Linked DNA regions of Arabidopsis thaliana. The protein of the gene in region 1 purifies or fractionates together with the protein of each later gene. This does not show direct contact. Each region holds a gene or a part of one and is shown in the gene's direction. Other genes may lie near its edges.

What was found.
Region 2: the proteins of DWA1 (region 1) and CUL4 purify together in Arabidopsis thaliana (affinity purification with western blotting, with the first as the bait; one study listed by BioGRID). This does not show direct contact.

What each region holds. Positions count from the first base shown.
Region 1 is NC_003071.7:8,412,927-8,418,535, forward strand, and holds DWA1 (DWD (DDB1-binding WD40 protein) hypersensitive to ABA 1), read left to right. Parts: upstream 1-2,119; 5' UTR 2,120-2,290; coding exon 2,291-2,616; intron 2,617-2,703; coding exon 2,704-2,780; intron 2,781-2,861; coding exon 2,862-2,907; intron 2,908-3,034; coding exon 3,035-3,095; intron 3,096-3,183; coding exon 3,184-3,237; intron 3,238-3,327; coding exon 3,328-3,408; intron 3,409-3,499; coding exon 3,500-3,539; intron 3,540-3,811; coding exon 3,812-3,912; intron 3,913-4,084; coding exon 4,085-4,195; intron 4,196-4,451; coding exon 4,452-4,568; intron 4,569-4,724; coding exon 4,725-4,814; 3' UTR 4,815-5,068; downstream 5,069-5,609. Other genes in the region: AT2G19420 (uncharacterized protein), read left to right, coding at 653-957; AT2G19440 (O-Glycosyl hydrolases family 17 protein), read right to left, coding at 5,238-5,609. UniProt on the Arabidopsis thaliana protein: Acts as a component of the THO subcomplex of the TREX complex which is thought to couple mRNA transcription, processing and nuclear export.
Region 2 is NC_003076.8:18,730,684-18,738,751, reverse strand, and holds CUL4 (cullin4), read left to right. Parts: upstream 1-1,936; 5' UTR 1,937-2,098; coding exon 2,099-2,345; intron 2,346-2,825; coding exon 2,826-2,941; intron 2,942-3,026; coding exon 3,027-3,373; intron 3,374-3,650; coding exon 3,651-3,831; intron 3,832-3,921; coding exon 3,922-4,044; intron 4,045-4,132; coding exon 4,133-4,420; intron 4,421-4,789; coding exon 4,790-4,915; intron 4,916-5,053; coding exon 5,054-5,155; intron 5,156-5,256; coding exon 5,257-5,310; intron 5,311-5,558; coding exon 5,559-5,665; intron 5,666-5,761; coding exon 5,762-5,822; intron 5,823-5,915; coding exon 5,916-6,047; intron 6,048-6,145; coding exon 6,146-6,283; intron 6,284-6,399; coding exon 6,400-6,480; intron 6,481-6,591; coding exon 6,592-6,672; intron 6,673-6,797; coding exon 6,798-6,878; intron 6,879-7,069; coding exon 7,070-7,183; 3' UTR 7,184-7,381; downstream 7,382-8,068. UniProt on the Arabidopsis thaliana protein: Component of the CUL4-RBX1-CDD (COP10-DDB1a-DET1) E3 ubiquitin-protein ligase complex which mediates the ubiquitination and subsequent proteasomal degradation of target proteins. Participates in the CDD complex to light-mediated control of development.

The sequences.
Region 1 (5,609 bases):
ATAACACATGTCTATAATATACGTACAAACCAATAAAATTGGACTCTTAACAAAATTTTGAGAGTGAGAGATCCCACTTAAAACGAAATAAACTATTTGTTTGGTCATTGCATGCGTAAACGACCACTTGAACAATTAAGTATACATAACATAGGTCTAGATCTATGTGAAAGATTCCCAAACTTAAGATCTCTAGCTAGAACATTCATTGATCCTCCAATCAAAAACCAAAGGAATAAAAAGTAATCTTTGTAAGGGCGAATGTAAAACCGAAACGTAAGCTAGAGGAATTGATATTAAAATGGAAGTAAAAGCGAATATTACTAAAGGTTTTGGAGTTAATTAAATAAAGACAAAAGATGCAAGGACAACGAATTATGAACATCTTCGAAATACGTTTTTAATATTGTTTTGGCATTTGATTTGATTTGATTCTCCTTCCACATTCCCTTGTTCATATGTGTTTGTGTCTCACGCAAGCACTACATAAGCGGTCCCCCTAAATACGTTTCTAGAAACGTCAACGTTTATTCAATCATACCAAAATTTACATGTGTATTCATCAATCAGCCGACCATAAACTACATGGTCCATTAGTCATTACCTATACTGCAATTTTTCTAGCTTTTAACAGCCATTATGTACTTCACAGTTTGGAATACTGGTATGACGAAGAAAAGTCGAGGTAAAAAACGTATTAGAATAAATGTTTATCGTCCAAAGATCGCACCAGCAAAGAATAAGAAACCTAAACCAACAAAGGAACAATTAATGGACCCTGAATTTTCTGATGAAGACGTACTTACCAGCTTGGGTTTTGATGATGGCGGTTACATAATACCACTACCGAAAAAATCTCTCATGTTGATTAATCTACCAGATTCTTTTCGAGATGAGTTGCAAACGATGCATGTCAGTTTTTATCTCCGAGAAGTTGGCAAACTTATGTTTGGGTGAGGACAAATATGCTCTAGTGAATAGTACTAAGAAGTTGATGCTTACAGATGGTCTAGGACGGCTTCATTTGTTTTGGATGAATTCAATTTTTTTTCCGAATCAGTATTTGCGAATGAGATTTATGTAGCCCTAGATGTGAGATTTATGAAAGCTGGAAGTGCCAAAAAGAAAGGTGGAGATTTTAATTGTAACAAAAACGCACAGAGTCTTCTTTATGATTTTTTCTTGGTAGATATAGATGAGGAGATATATGGGTCAAAATTTGAAGAGACGGAAGACCAAAAGAAGTGGAACAAAAAATTTTGAATTGATTTGTCTTCATCATATTGTGCTATTAACATTAAACACGAAATAGAGCATCTGAATCTTGAATTCTATGGAATCTCTAAAACGAATAGACAGATCTCCGCGGAGGAAGTGAAATTCTCTACTCATACTGCATTCAAAATTAATTGAGTTTTTCAATTACATTGGAGGTTTATCCTTTGATACTTTCGGTTTGGTGATTTGAATGAAATGTTGGTTTTGACAGAAAAATGAATAACACTTGCATTAAAATCATCAAAAATTGAATAACACTAGAATCTAAGGAGGTGTATTCGATCTTATATTTTAAGTTATTTGAGTTTTTATATAATTTTGATTTTTTAAAGAATTTGGATGAATTTAAGGAGGTTGTTATGATTTATGGTAAAATCCTCTCAAATTCCACCTAAAACCATGAGATTTAAAATTATATATTTTTAACTAAGAAAATCCACTTAAGTCTCTTAAAGTCACTAAAATCCAATCTTTAAAATGTTTTCAATAACAGAAGATTTTTAAGGAGATTTTAAAATCAGTAATTCAATAGCATTAGATTTCATGATACTTTTAAAAATTCATAATTGAATAACATAGGATATGTTAGTTTGAATAAGATATCCTAGGTGTTAATTTACTATTTTTAAAAAGGTAAGATTTTTTTTCATGTTTTTAAAAAATGTGAGAGTTTTTTTACCTATTTTTCTATTAAAATGAAATGTATAAAATTAAAATTTTGTTTTTAAATAAAATTACTAAATTAAATATTACAAAATATGTATATATTACTATTTAGAATTCAAATATTATCGATACAAAATTAAATTTATTTCTTCAATTCGTCTATTTAAGCAAGCTAGTAATTTGATCGACAAAAAAAAAACAAGCTAGTAAAATATAATTAACAGAATTACTAAATCGGCCGGTTTAGGGATTGCTTTCTCTCAGTCGTCAATTGCACTAAACCACTGGTGGTAATATCGCTGGCGTTTCGCAAGTATCACCGGGAATTGCAAAGAAGCAGAGGACCATGTACGGAGACGCTACAAACTGGAATGAAGATGAGTATAGAGAATCAATTTTGAAGGAGCGAGAGATAGAGACACGCACCGTCTTCAGAACCGCCTGGGCTCCTCCGGCGAGAATCTCTAATCCAGACGCATTTGTTGTAGCCTCCAGCGATGGAACTTTAGCTTTCCATTCACTGAACTCGCTTGTGTCTCAATCGGCGAGTTTTGGCTACTCGAAAGGTCAAGATGTTATGGTGGCTGAACCTGAGAGAGTGGTTAGGGCACACGAAGGTCCTGCTTATGATGTTAAGTTCTATGGTGAAGACGAAGATGCTTTGCTACTTAGGTAGAGACTTAAATCTCTCTTTGTTGATTGATGAGTCTTTGATGAATTGTAATTGAGAGTTTGAAATTTTGATCTGGTTATGTGTAGTTGTGGTGATGATGGTAGAGTTAGGGGATGGAAATGGAGAGAATTTGCTGAATCAGATGTGTCTCTTCATTTGAAAGGTGTGTGTGTGCCATTTTTGTGGTTTTTGATATGAATGATGCTTTTTGGAGCTTAGTGGTTGTTTTTCTTATGATCTACAGAGAATCATCTGAAGCCATTGCTTGAACTGATTAATCCACAACACAAGTGAGTATGAGTTTTGTTCATTTTTTATTCTACTTGATAACTCTGTTACTGAAAATGCTATAATTGTGGGTTCAAATGTCAGTGTTCGTAATAGTTGTGTGTATAATCACCATTCTTTTTCTTATAGAGGTCCTTGGGGTGCGCTTTCACCGATGCCTGAGATCAATGCCATGTCTGTTGATCCTCAGGTTGGAATTGTATTTAAATTTCATTGCTTGGTTAGACAGTCTCACAGGATAACTGTTTCACCCTCTCTCACTTCTTTCGTTTTGATAGTCAGGAAGTGTATTTACAGCAGCTGGTGATTCTTGCGCATATTGTTGGGACGTGGTATGTATTTGACCATGATAGATGTATGTCCTATGTGAATCCAGATATCTTAACTTTCTAAAATCATTTATGTGTATCCAACAATTTCAGGAGAGTGGTAAGATTAAAATGACCTTTAAAGGTCATTCAGACTATTTGCATACTGTAGTTTCTCGTAGTTCTGCAAGTCAGGTAATGATGTTACCATAAATATTAGAAATGCACCTATCCAAATCTGAGTTCCACATTTGGATTTTTGTCTGATTGTAGTCTCTTTCTCCAGATATTGACGGGTTCAGAGGATGGGACTGCGAGAATCTGGGGTAACATGCTCCCGACCATATTTCTTTATGCTGTAATTTCTAGTATTAGGTCATACGTGGTTATAGAACTTTTGAAATCATTTGAGTCTTCATGTTGGTACTTAAGATCCAATGCTCCTCAGTTTTGTTGGCTGCTTCTTACAACTCTATGATGATTCATTTTGGTGATTACAGAACTTTCCACTATGTTATGTTTTGGTTCATGTGGTTTACTTTAGTTGTCTAGACTAAGCTTTGTTCGCTCAAGGGCTTCTTTCTGTTTTGTCAACCAGATTGCAAAACGGGAAAATGTGTTAAAGTAATTGGTTCCCAGGATAAAAAGTCCCGCCTTCGCGTTAGTTCTATGGCCCTTGATGGGAGTGAAAGCTGGTTGGTAAGAACTAAGCAACTAGATAATCTAACATTTTCGCAACCTGCTATTTGTTTGAAGGGATTGTTGCCTCCAGTAACCTAAGAATATAGTTCCTTTCTCCTGAAGAATCACTTAGAAGTTTAAATACTGAACATGTATTTACTGTTATTGGTATGATTTTCTCCTCTTTCAGGTTTGTGGACAGGGCAAAAATTTAGCTTTATGGAATCTTCCCGCCTCAGAATGCGTACAAACAATACCCATCCCTGCACATGTACAGGATGTGATGTTTGATGAAAAGCAAGTAAGCAGAACAAGATTAGATTGAAATTTAAGCAGTGTAATTTAAAGCCTTGGGAGGCCGTGGGTGTTATTTGTTTATCAAGGCTTAATAGGTTTATGTAGTATCTCTTTGAATCATCCCTCTTCAACGAAGTTTATTAAAAAAATTACTGACTTTTCTAAACTAGAAACAGAGGTCAACACCTAGTTTTAATTCCTGTGCTAAAGTTTAAACATCTTTTTAAAAATGTTGTCTTTAACAAGTATCGCACTATCAGATTTTGACTGTAGGAGCAGAACCACTTCTAAGACGTTTCGACTTAAATGGAGCTTTGCTTTCTCAAATTCACTGTGCTCCTTGTTCAGTATTTTCCATTTCCTTGCATCCAGCAGGAGTATGTTTCCAATCCCTTCTTTTCTCCCCATTTCCTATATATGTGTTTGCTTTTCTCCCATTTCCTATGTTACTGCTAATATTCTGCAAATATGTTACCCCTTCTGGACTAGAAACTCAATGTTTAACCGTTGATCCAATTCTTTTGTATTTGCAGGTAGTTGCTGTGGGAGGTTATGGAGGTATTGTTGATGTCATCTCTCAATTTGGAAGCCATCTCTGCACATTTCGTAGCAGTTCATTGTAAAACTCCTTACAGTTTCTTGATTTGGCTCGATACCCTAAAGAGGTACCGAAATGTGTCAGTCAGATTATTGCAGAGGTTAAGAAACCTTTTCTTTGTTTTTCTTAGGATCTTGCTCCTGACTAAAGACCAATTAGTTGTTTGGTTAAGTGTAATTGGTTTGTGGTTCCGTAGTTGCTATCAAATTTGAACCATTAAAATGACATTGGACCGGTTTAGTCTGATCACGTACATTAACTGCCGTTAGAGTTTCAATTTTTTGCGAGTCCTGTTTTCTTATGACCACCATTGATCAAATATTTGGATCCATAACTAAATGATTCTCACTCTTCCAAGTAAAATTTTACCATATTATGCAATTTAATACATGGACAAAACATATAGTTTCCATATCCACAAAAATAAGTCCTCAAAAACATCACTAATCTAAACCTCAAACATCACTCCTGATAAGAGAAACCAAACTCCAGCGATCAACAAAACCAAAGAAGAAGAAAATGAAGAAGCTGTGGAAGCAACAATCTGAATAGGGAAATTGCATTGTCCCTGAGATATATTCTTTGTGGTAATGGTGGCCAAACCTTGGAAGATACAAGCATCCTCATCCTGGTTCTTTACTTGAAAATACATGTTAAACGCATATGAAGCGTTCCCATTTGCATCAAGAGTATTGCAAGAAGACCCGTAACCAAGCGCAGTGCAATCCGAAAAAGTGCAGGCGTAATCTATGTTAGCAGCGAGTTTTGTCAAATCTTTGGCTTCTGTATTAAACATACACCACTTCTTAGGTTGATACGT
Region 2 (8,068 bases), on another chromosome or scaffold:
AGAAATAGAAGATCTTCATAAGAGTTTGTGCTGATGATAATAAACTGAAAGTTAGAAACTCTAGCAGCTTTTTAAGGTAAAGCGTTACTAAAAACAAATCTTATTTTATTTTTTAGTAAAAGCTAAAAAAAAATCTTTATAATTTTTGCATAAGATTTCTATTTTTATTACGATGTAAATTTTGGAAGAAAAAACAGTCCACAACAATTTTATTTTTACTTTTATATCTCAGCATGACTACCGATTAGAATATATAAATGGTGAAACAGAAGCGGTTTTAATCCGCAATCTTATTAATCAGTGTTCCATGTACAAACCATTCAAAGCTAAAATTGTTCAATTGTTTGTTTTATGTCAAGCTTACAATTTTTCAATAACTCCTCATTTTCACATGTTTGCATGTGAAAATATTGATCCAACGATCCAAGAGACTTACAATTTGCTATTATTAGTATCAATTGGGATTAATTGAGAAATTCTATAGTCTTGAAACATGAATAAAGAAAAAATAAATGTGTTGACATGTTAATGAGGGATTAAAGAAATAAAAAAAAATTATTAGTAAGTTTAAGCGAGGTGAGAATGTAATGAACACCATTTTGTATTAGTAATTATACAATTCCATAGGCTAATCAACATGTAATAAAAAGTTTTAAGACCATGCAGTCGTTGAGGCTGTGGCTGTAATAATATTCATCCTTGCAATTGCGACTTAAAAACCAGCCATGTTTTTTGGCCCAAGAACCCTCACTAATCAAAACACATTCGCACAACAGCACAAGTTATATGAGTTCGCCAATTGGTACGTCTCGGTAACACTTGTAAGACCATCTCCATCGGAATATCTGATTGAGATACTCATCAATTAAATAATAATTAAAAAGAGAAAAAGTATGAGAGAAGAAGAGAAAAGTGGAGAAACTGGCAAGAGAGACTATTCTCAGCATTTATTGAGAGTTGTCATTCAATTAATAGTTCATTTACTTCAAACTAATTAAAATATATTAATTTGATTAAAATATTAATTTATTTACTTTTTGAGATACTCTCTACCACTTTTGCCGATGGAGATGCTCTAACAATCTCATCTCGTCTCTTATCTGCTTGATAGGCTTCGGTTAAACCTTTGTAATCAGGCCCAAAGTATTAACTCCTGTAAATAATTTGATAAGCCCATATTTTGTAATCAGAACCAAACCCTAAACCGGAAGTCCAAAAACCCTGTGGAGCAGCAAGTCAACACGCCCCACATTGGCTAATCCATGACATCGATCATATTATATTTATTCATATTGTCAAGTGATGATTCTTCGTTCATGTCTTTTAACATCACACAATTTTCTGCCTGAAATTACCGACTGCTAAAAGTATTTAATCATCTCTATTTTTATCTCCATTCTCCACGTTATAGGTGAGTCTATTTTATAGGCATTTTATTCTAATATATTCTTTTAAAATAGTTTTTTTTAAAAAATAAAAGAAATATATGGAAAAAAAATCAACTCAATTTTCTTTAAAATAAAAATAAAAATATATATCAAAAATGATCTAAATATCAAGCATCGACTCGTGTGATCGATTCTTTATTCTTTAAATCGTAAAATGACTTAATAAAAATTCGACTCTAAAAATATACAATAGATATGATTTATCAGTTGTCAAAAACTAAAAATAAAAAGTAGTTAAAATTTAAAAGTAGTTATAAAAAATAACCATACAAAACAGGCAACAATTGATTATTATTTTTTATTTTTTTGTTTTTCACTTTTGTGATTAGTAACCATTAAAACAACGCACATCTAATCATTGCGGTATATGTCTATTTTTATCAATAATATTTTTTTTATCATATAGTAATTATGATTTATGAATGTATAAATAAAATAATTCTGATTTTATTCAGAGTATATAAATAAACAAAAAATCTTCATTTCTCGGGTCGGGTCTAAATCGCGAGTTTTCGCGTAGGTTTGAGCAAAAAAAAAAAGAGAGAGAGTGCACAGTGCGCTTTTGGTAGAGAGAAAGGGTTGTTATTATTTAGGATTGATGTCTTCTTCTTCCTCTTCGTGATTCTCTCACACAATTTTCACCCATTTTCATGTCTCTTCCTACCAAACGCTCTACTTTCTCCGCCGCTTCTGCCTCCGACGACTCTTCTTACTCTTCTCCTCCGATGAAAAAGGCCAAAAACGACCTCCACCATTCCCCTCAACACCCTAATACCGCCGACAAGGTTGTTGGCTTTCATATGGAGGAAGATCCAACTCCCGCCGCCGCTAATCTCTCTCGGAAGAAAGCTACACTTCCGCAACCTACTAAGAAGTTTGTAATCAAGCTCAATAAAGGTTTCGCTCGATTTCGATTTCTTTCATCTTTACGATTTTGATCGTAATCTTAGGATTTGATTTGGGTCTTTTACTCTACTGTGCAATTGATGCTCTGGATTGATTTGAAATGATACAATTGTTAAGGTTCGTGATTTTTAGGGTTTTCATTGGCTTGCGATTGATGGAAGTTTTGTGTGAGTTTTGATGTTAAATTACAGTGGAAAATTGAGTGTGACTGTTGAATTTTGATGTGAATGAGTGATTTGGGTTTTTGTATTTCTTCTAAGTTGGAATCTCTTTGTCTAGCCTGATCTAGGTACTTAAGATCCGGAATCTTTGTTGTGCACAATCTAGTTGGCTTAGCTCTCACCAAACCTAATTTGTGCCATTAGAAAACATCTTGAGAATCATCTTTACTGTGACTGGCTAGCAAATTGAAGATAAAAGTGTTTTCATAATTAGGGTTCTGATTGTACCATTTGTATTATATATGTGAAGCCAAACCAACTCTACCAACAAACTTTGAGGAGAATACATGGGAGAAGTTGCAGTCAGCTATCAGAGCTATATTCCTCAAAAAAAAAATTTCGTTTGACCTCGAGAGCCTTTACCAGGTTAGGTTACGTGCAAATTTACTTACTTCCTTTCTTATTCGTATGTGTAAATGTCGTGCTGATGAGATTGTGATTGTTTTTTCAGGCTGTTGATAACCTTTGCTTGCATAAGTTGGATGGAAAGCTTTATGACCAGATTGAGAAGGAGTGTGAAGAACACATCTCTGCAGCTTTGCAATCTTTAGTTGGGCAGAACACTGATCTGACTGTTTTCTTGTCACGTGTTGAGAAATGCTGGCAAGACTTTTGTGACCAGATGCTCATGATTCGTAGTATAGCCTTGACTCTGGATAGGAAGTATGTGATACAGAATCCAAATGTACGTTCATTATGGGAGATGGGTTTGCAGCTTTTCCGGAAGCATCTTTCTCTGGCCCCTGAAGTTGAGCAGAGGACGGTTAAAGGTCTCTTAAGTATGATTGAAAAAGAAAGGTAAATTTTTAACCTTCTGGTCTTCCAAAATTAAACGAGGGTTGATTTATCACATTGAGAATATAATTTCATAAAGCCACTTTACCTCAACTTATTTTTCTGGCTTTTGAGTGAATATGGTAAGTTTGGATGGTCTATGAACTATTCCTGTCTAGCAGTGATAACTTGTTATAGGTAAAATTTCAAGGCAAATCAGGACTAGTGTATGTCATTTATATATTGGATAATGTTTTCATCTGAATCTGCTGAACTTTCTTGCATGATATTGGTCCTGCAGGTTAGCAGAAGCTGTTAATAGGACTCTACTAAGCCATCTTTTGAAGATGTTTACTGCACTGGGAATTTATATGGAAAGCTTTGAGAAACCTTTCCTTGAAGGGACCTCTGAATTTTATGCCGCTGAAGGAATGAAATACATGCAGCAGTCTGACGTTCCGGAGTACCTGAAGCATGTTGAGGTGCCTTGCATGACTTCATATAGTTTCCTTATGATTAGCTGCACTACAGGTTAATAGTCTTTCTAAGGTTTCTACTGGTGATTGGTGCAGGGAAGGTTGCATGAAGAGAATGAGAGATGCATACTCTACATAGATGCAGTAACCAGGAAACCATTGATCACAACTGTTGAAAGGCAACTTCTCGAACGTCATATACTTGTTGTTCTTGAAAAGGTTCCAATCTCCTATTATTCTTGTGTTGGCTTGCATATTATCCAATTTTAGTTTGTCGTAGTCTTACTTTATTTCTGAACATCTTCAGGGTTTTACAACATTAATGGATGGACGTCGTACGGAGGACCTTCAGAGGATGCAAACCTTGTTTTCTAGGGTCAATGCACTTGAGTCTCTGAGGCAGGCGCTAAGTTCATATGTTCGGAAAACTGGGCAGAAGATTGTTATGGATGAAGAGAAAGACAAAGATATGGTACAATCACTGTTGGACTTCAAGGCTTCTCTTGACATAATATGGGAAGAGAGCTTTTACAAGAACGAATCATTTGGTAACACAATCAAAGATTCGTTTGAGCATCTGATTAATCTTCGACAGGTATCAAATAGTGATTTTCTTGATTATTGCCTGAGTCTCTTGCTAATAATTTTACTTTCATGTAAAAGCAACATACTGATTATTGTGGAAATGTCAACCTTAAATTACAATTGTGAAATCGAGAAATTTATATTTTATAATAATCTATAGATTTCGTTACTGATTAAGCACTGTATTGCTATGATTTGGAGACATCTTTGGGCAGTGAATACTATTTTCAAACATAATTTTGAGATCAAGCTTCTTGTGGGCACTGGACCTGATCACAGTAGTGTTGTTTGCTAATATATATCACTTTGGATACCAAATACTCTGATTTAGCAAGCATCCCAAATAATATACATCTTATGCTGATAATCTTTTTTACAGAACCGGCCAGCTGAGCTTATTGCCAAGTTTTTGGACGAGAAACTCCGTGCTGGGAATAAGGGTACTTCTGAAGAAGAATTGGAGAGTGTTCTTGAAAAAGTCTTGGTTTTGTTCAGATTTATCCAGGTTATCTCTAATTTCTTACATTTAGTACTGTGTTTGTCACTGTAAATCACTGCTTCGAGGCCAGTGCATGGTCTGTAAACCAGCTATTTGATCTTCTGGATATCGGTTTTGCTGATGGATTTTTATTATTTATCAAAGGGTAAAGATGTGTTCGAAGCATTTTACAAAAAGGATCTTGCGAAGAGACTCCTGTTGGGAAAGAGTGCTTCAATCGATGCTGAGAAATCCATGATCTCTAAGGTTAAAAACTGATTTATATTCTGGGTGTTTCCCTTTCCCACAATTTGTTTTCTATATCTGTAGTTCTCACCCACTGATCCCAACCTTGGTTTTACCTACAGCTTAAGACTGAGTGTGGTAGCCAGTTTACAAACAAGCTCGAAGGGATGTTCAAGGTATCCTTTCTTCTCCTTCTCTATATTCAAAAAAGATGTTGGTCGTTTAAGTTTTACTAAGGAACAAACTTAATGATCTTATATTTTGTTACGTTTTACGATATACCCCGGTATACATATTCATTGTTAATCCAATCTAAGACAGGATTGGCGGATGATCCTGCTCCATACTTATTTTAATGAACTTGTGTACATTTACAATAATCCTAATGAGCTTGAACTCTCCGTTTTATTGAAATTTTCTCCAGGATATTGAATTGTCAAAGGAAATCAACGAGTCATTCAAACAATCTTCCCAGGCCAGAACAAAACTGCCATCGGGAATTGAGATGAGTGTCCACGTTTTAACAACAGGGTATGTACAATGTATCAATTTTATCCAGGATATAACTGCTGGAATGCGGATATCATGACATATATAAAGCTTGTTAACTTCCCGTCTATAATACAGGTACTGGCCAACATATCCGCCTATGGATGTTAAGCTTCCTCATGAACTAAATGTCTATCAGGTTTTACTAAAAGTTCTTCTTATGTATTTTTTTTTGTTTCCTCGTTGGACGTTTTCTTACAAGCTTTTTCTAAGCTATCTGTATGTTTCGTAGGATATCTTCAAAGAGTTCTATTTAAGCAAGTACAGTGGTAGGAGGTTAATGTGGCAAAATTCATTAGGCCACTGTGTTTTAAAGGCAGATTTCTCCAAAGGTAAAAAGGAGCTGGCTGTTTCCCTGTTTCAGGTCAGTCAAATTTTTTTTCCCCCCCCCCCCCTTTTAAGCTCTTTCCTGTCTTCCCGAGGTTACAGTGTTAATCAATTGCTCTTTTCTTTTTGTCTCAGGCTGTTGTGTTAATGTTATTTAACGATGCAATGAAACTTAGCTTTGAAGACATTAAAGATTCCACCAGCATAGAGGACAAGGAGCTGAGGAGGACTTTGCAGTCGCTTGCTTGTGGGAAAGTCCGTGTCCTGCAGAAGGTTTGGCCAAAATCTGGACTCTGTTAACTCTCTTTTCAGCTAATGCAGAAACTGCCGAGATTATGGCTTTGCCTTTTTCCATAAGGATAAGCCTTATTGTGTAAATATTTTTGCAGAATCCTAAGGGAAGAGATGTAGAAGACGGTGATGAATTTGAATTTAATGATGAGTTTGCAGCTCCGCTGTATCGCATTAAGGTACGTTGGTTTTTTTCTTGGTCTCTTCACTTAAAGTATCCTAGAATCTTGTGATACTGTTTTGTATGTAGCTTATAGTGAAGCAATTCTTTCTTTTGTTCCTGGGTGCAGGTAAATGCGATCCAGATGAAAGAGACAGTAGAGGAGAACACAAGTACAACGGAAAGAGTATTCCAGGACCGACAATACCAGGTTGGTTTCTGCTCTCCATTTTCCTTTACGATACTAATTTCTGAAATCGTTCTTACAACTTTGGCTTCTTAAACAAGAAAAGATTTTGACAAAATGGTTTTCCCCATCACACCCTTCTCTTACAGATCGATGCAGCCATTGTTCGTATTATGAAGACAAGAAAAGTCTTGAGCCATACTCTTCTAATCACTGAGCTCTTCCAACAGGTAAATTTCACTCCTGCTTGATGATTTTAAAATCCGAAATAACATGTCGGTTTATGAAAAAAGAAAGCATGAAATTCGTTACTAGGTCCAGTCCTATTGGTAATATACTCGTGATGATGATTAGAGTTCTCAGTAGTCTACTAAATTTAATATACCATTGCTATGAATGGATATATGTTTGTGATTTGCAGCTCAAATTCCCGATAAAGCCTGCTGATCTGAAGAAGAGGATTGAGAGCTTGATCGATCGAGAATATTTGGAGAGGGAAAAAAGCAACCCTCAGATATACAATTATCTTGCTTAGAATCTCTTTGGTAAACACACCTTTTGAATATTTTCCTTTTTGTATATTTATTGACAAACAAACGATGACCGAAATTTTCTTATCAGTTTGAAAAAAAAAAAGAACTCTCGATATTCCAATCATCTCTATTCTCGCTGTTCCGCCCGTTCTTATGTACAGCCTTAAGTTCTATTTCTTACTTTGATTCACTTTTCCTCGGTTCTCACTTTTTTTTTTTTTTTGAACATACTTTCTTGGGACTTCTTTGTTTTCAGATTTTTATACAACTTAAAAGATGTTTTTGTTTCCCTACAAAAATAACTGATTTGTTTTAAAAAAATTCAAACTTCCAATAAAGTTCCTAAGATAGGTTATATATCTTCGAGGGTTTTCTATGTGCTGATTCCATTTTGTTTTCGTTTTTGAGTTTTATTTGAATGGAGATAGTTCTTAGAGCTTTTTCTTCGTTTTTAGGCAATTAAATCTTAAGTTTAATCGGATTTTTTTTTACACTACATTATAGGCATTTCTGTTTTTACCACTACCAAATAACTAAAGAAAGAACAGAGAGAATCAAATTGCTTACTTGATGAACGTCCCTAACGACATTTAACTATGGCTGATCAATATTGTACGCAACTGAAAGACAATTGAATAAAATTCATACTACGGTTTGTGAAATAGTTAAATGTATCTACACGTACATTTAAGAAAAATGGAAATATATTGACTCATCGTCCAACTGCTTCAATCTAGTGACTCCACAGCTTTTTAGTTCGGGTTTCATACTGTAGTAGGAAAGTAAACGAACTATGTAAAGAAAATTGGATTTCAGAAAAAAATAATTATTTGATGAAAAAAAAATTGAATGAAAATGTTGTTTACGAATATTTTTGCTAGTCAAAA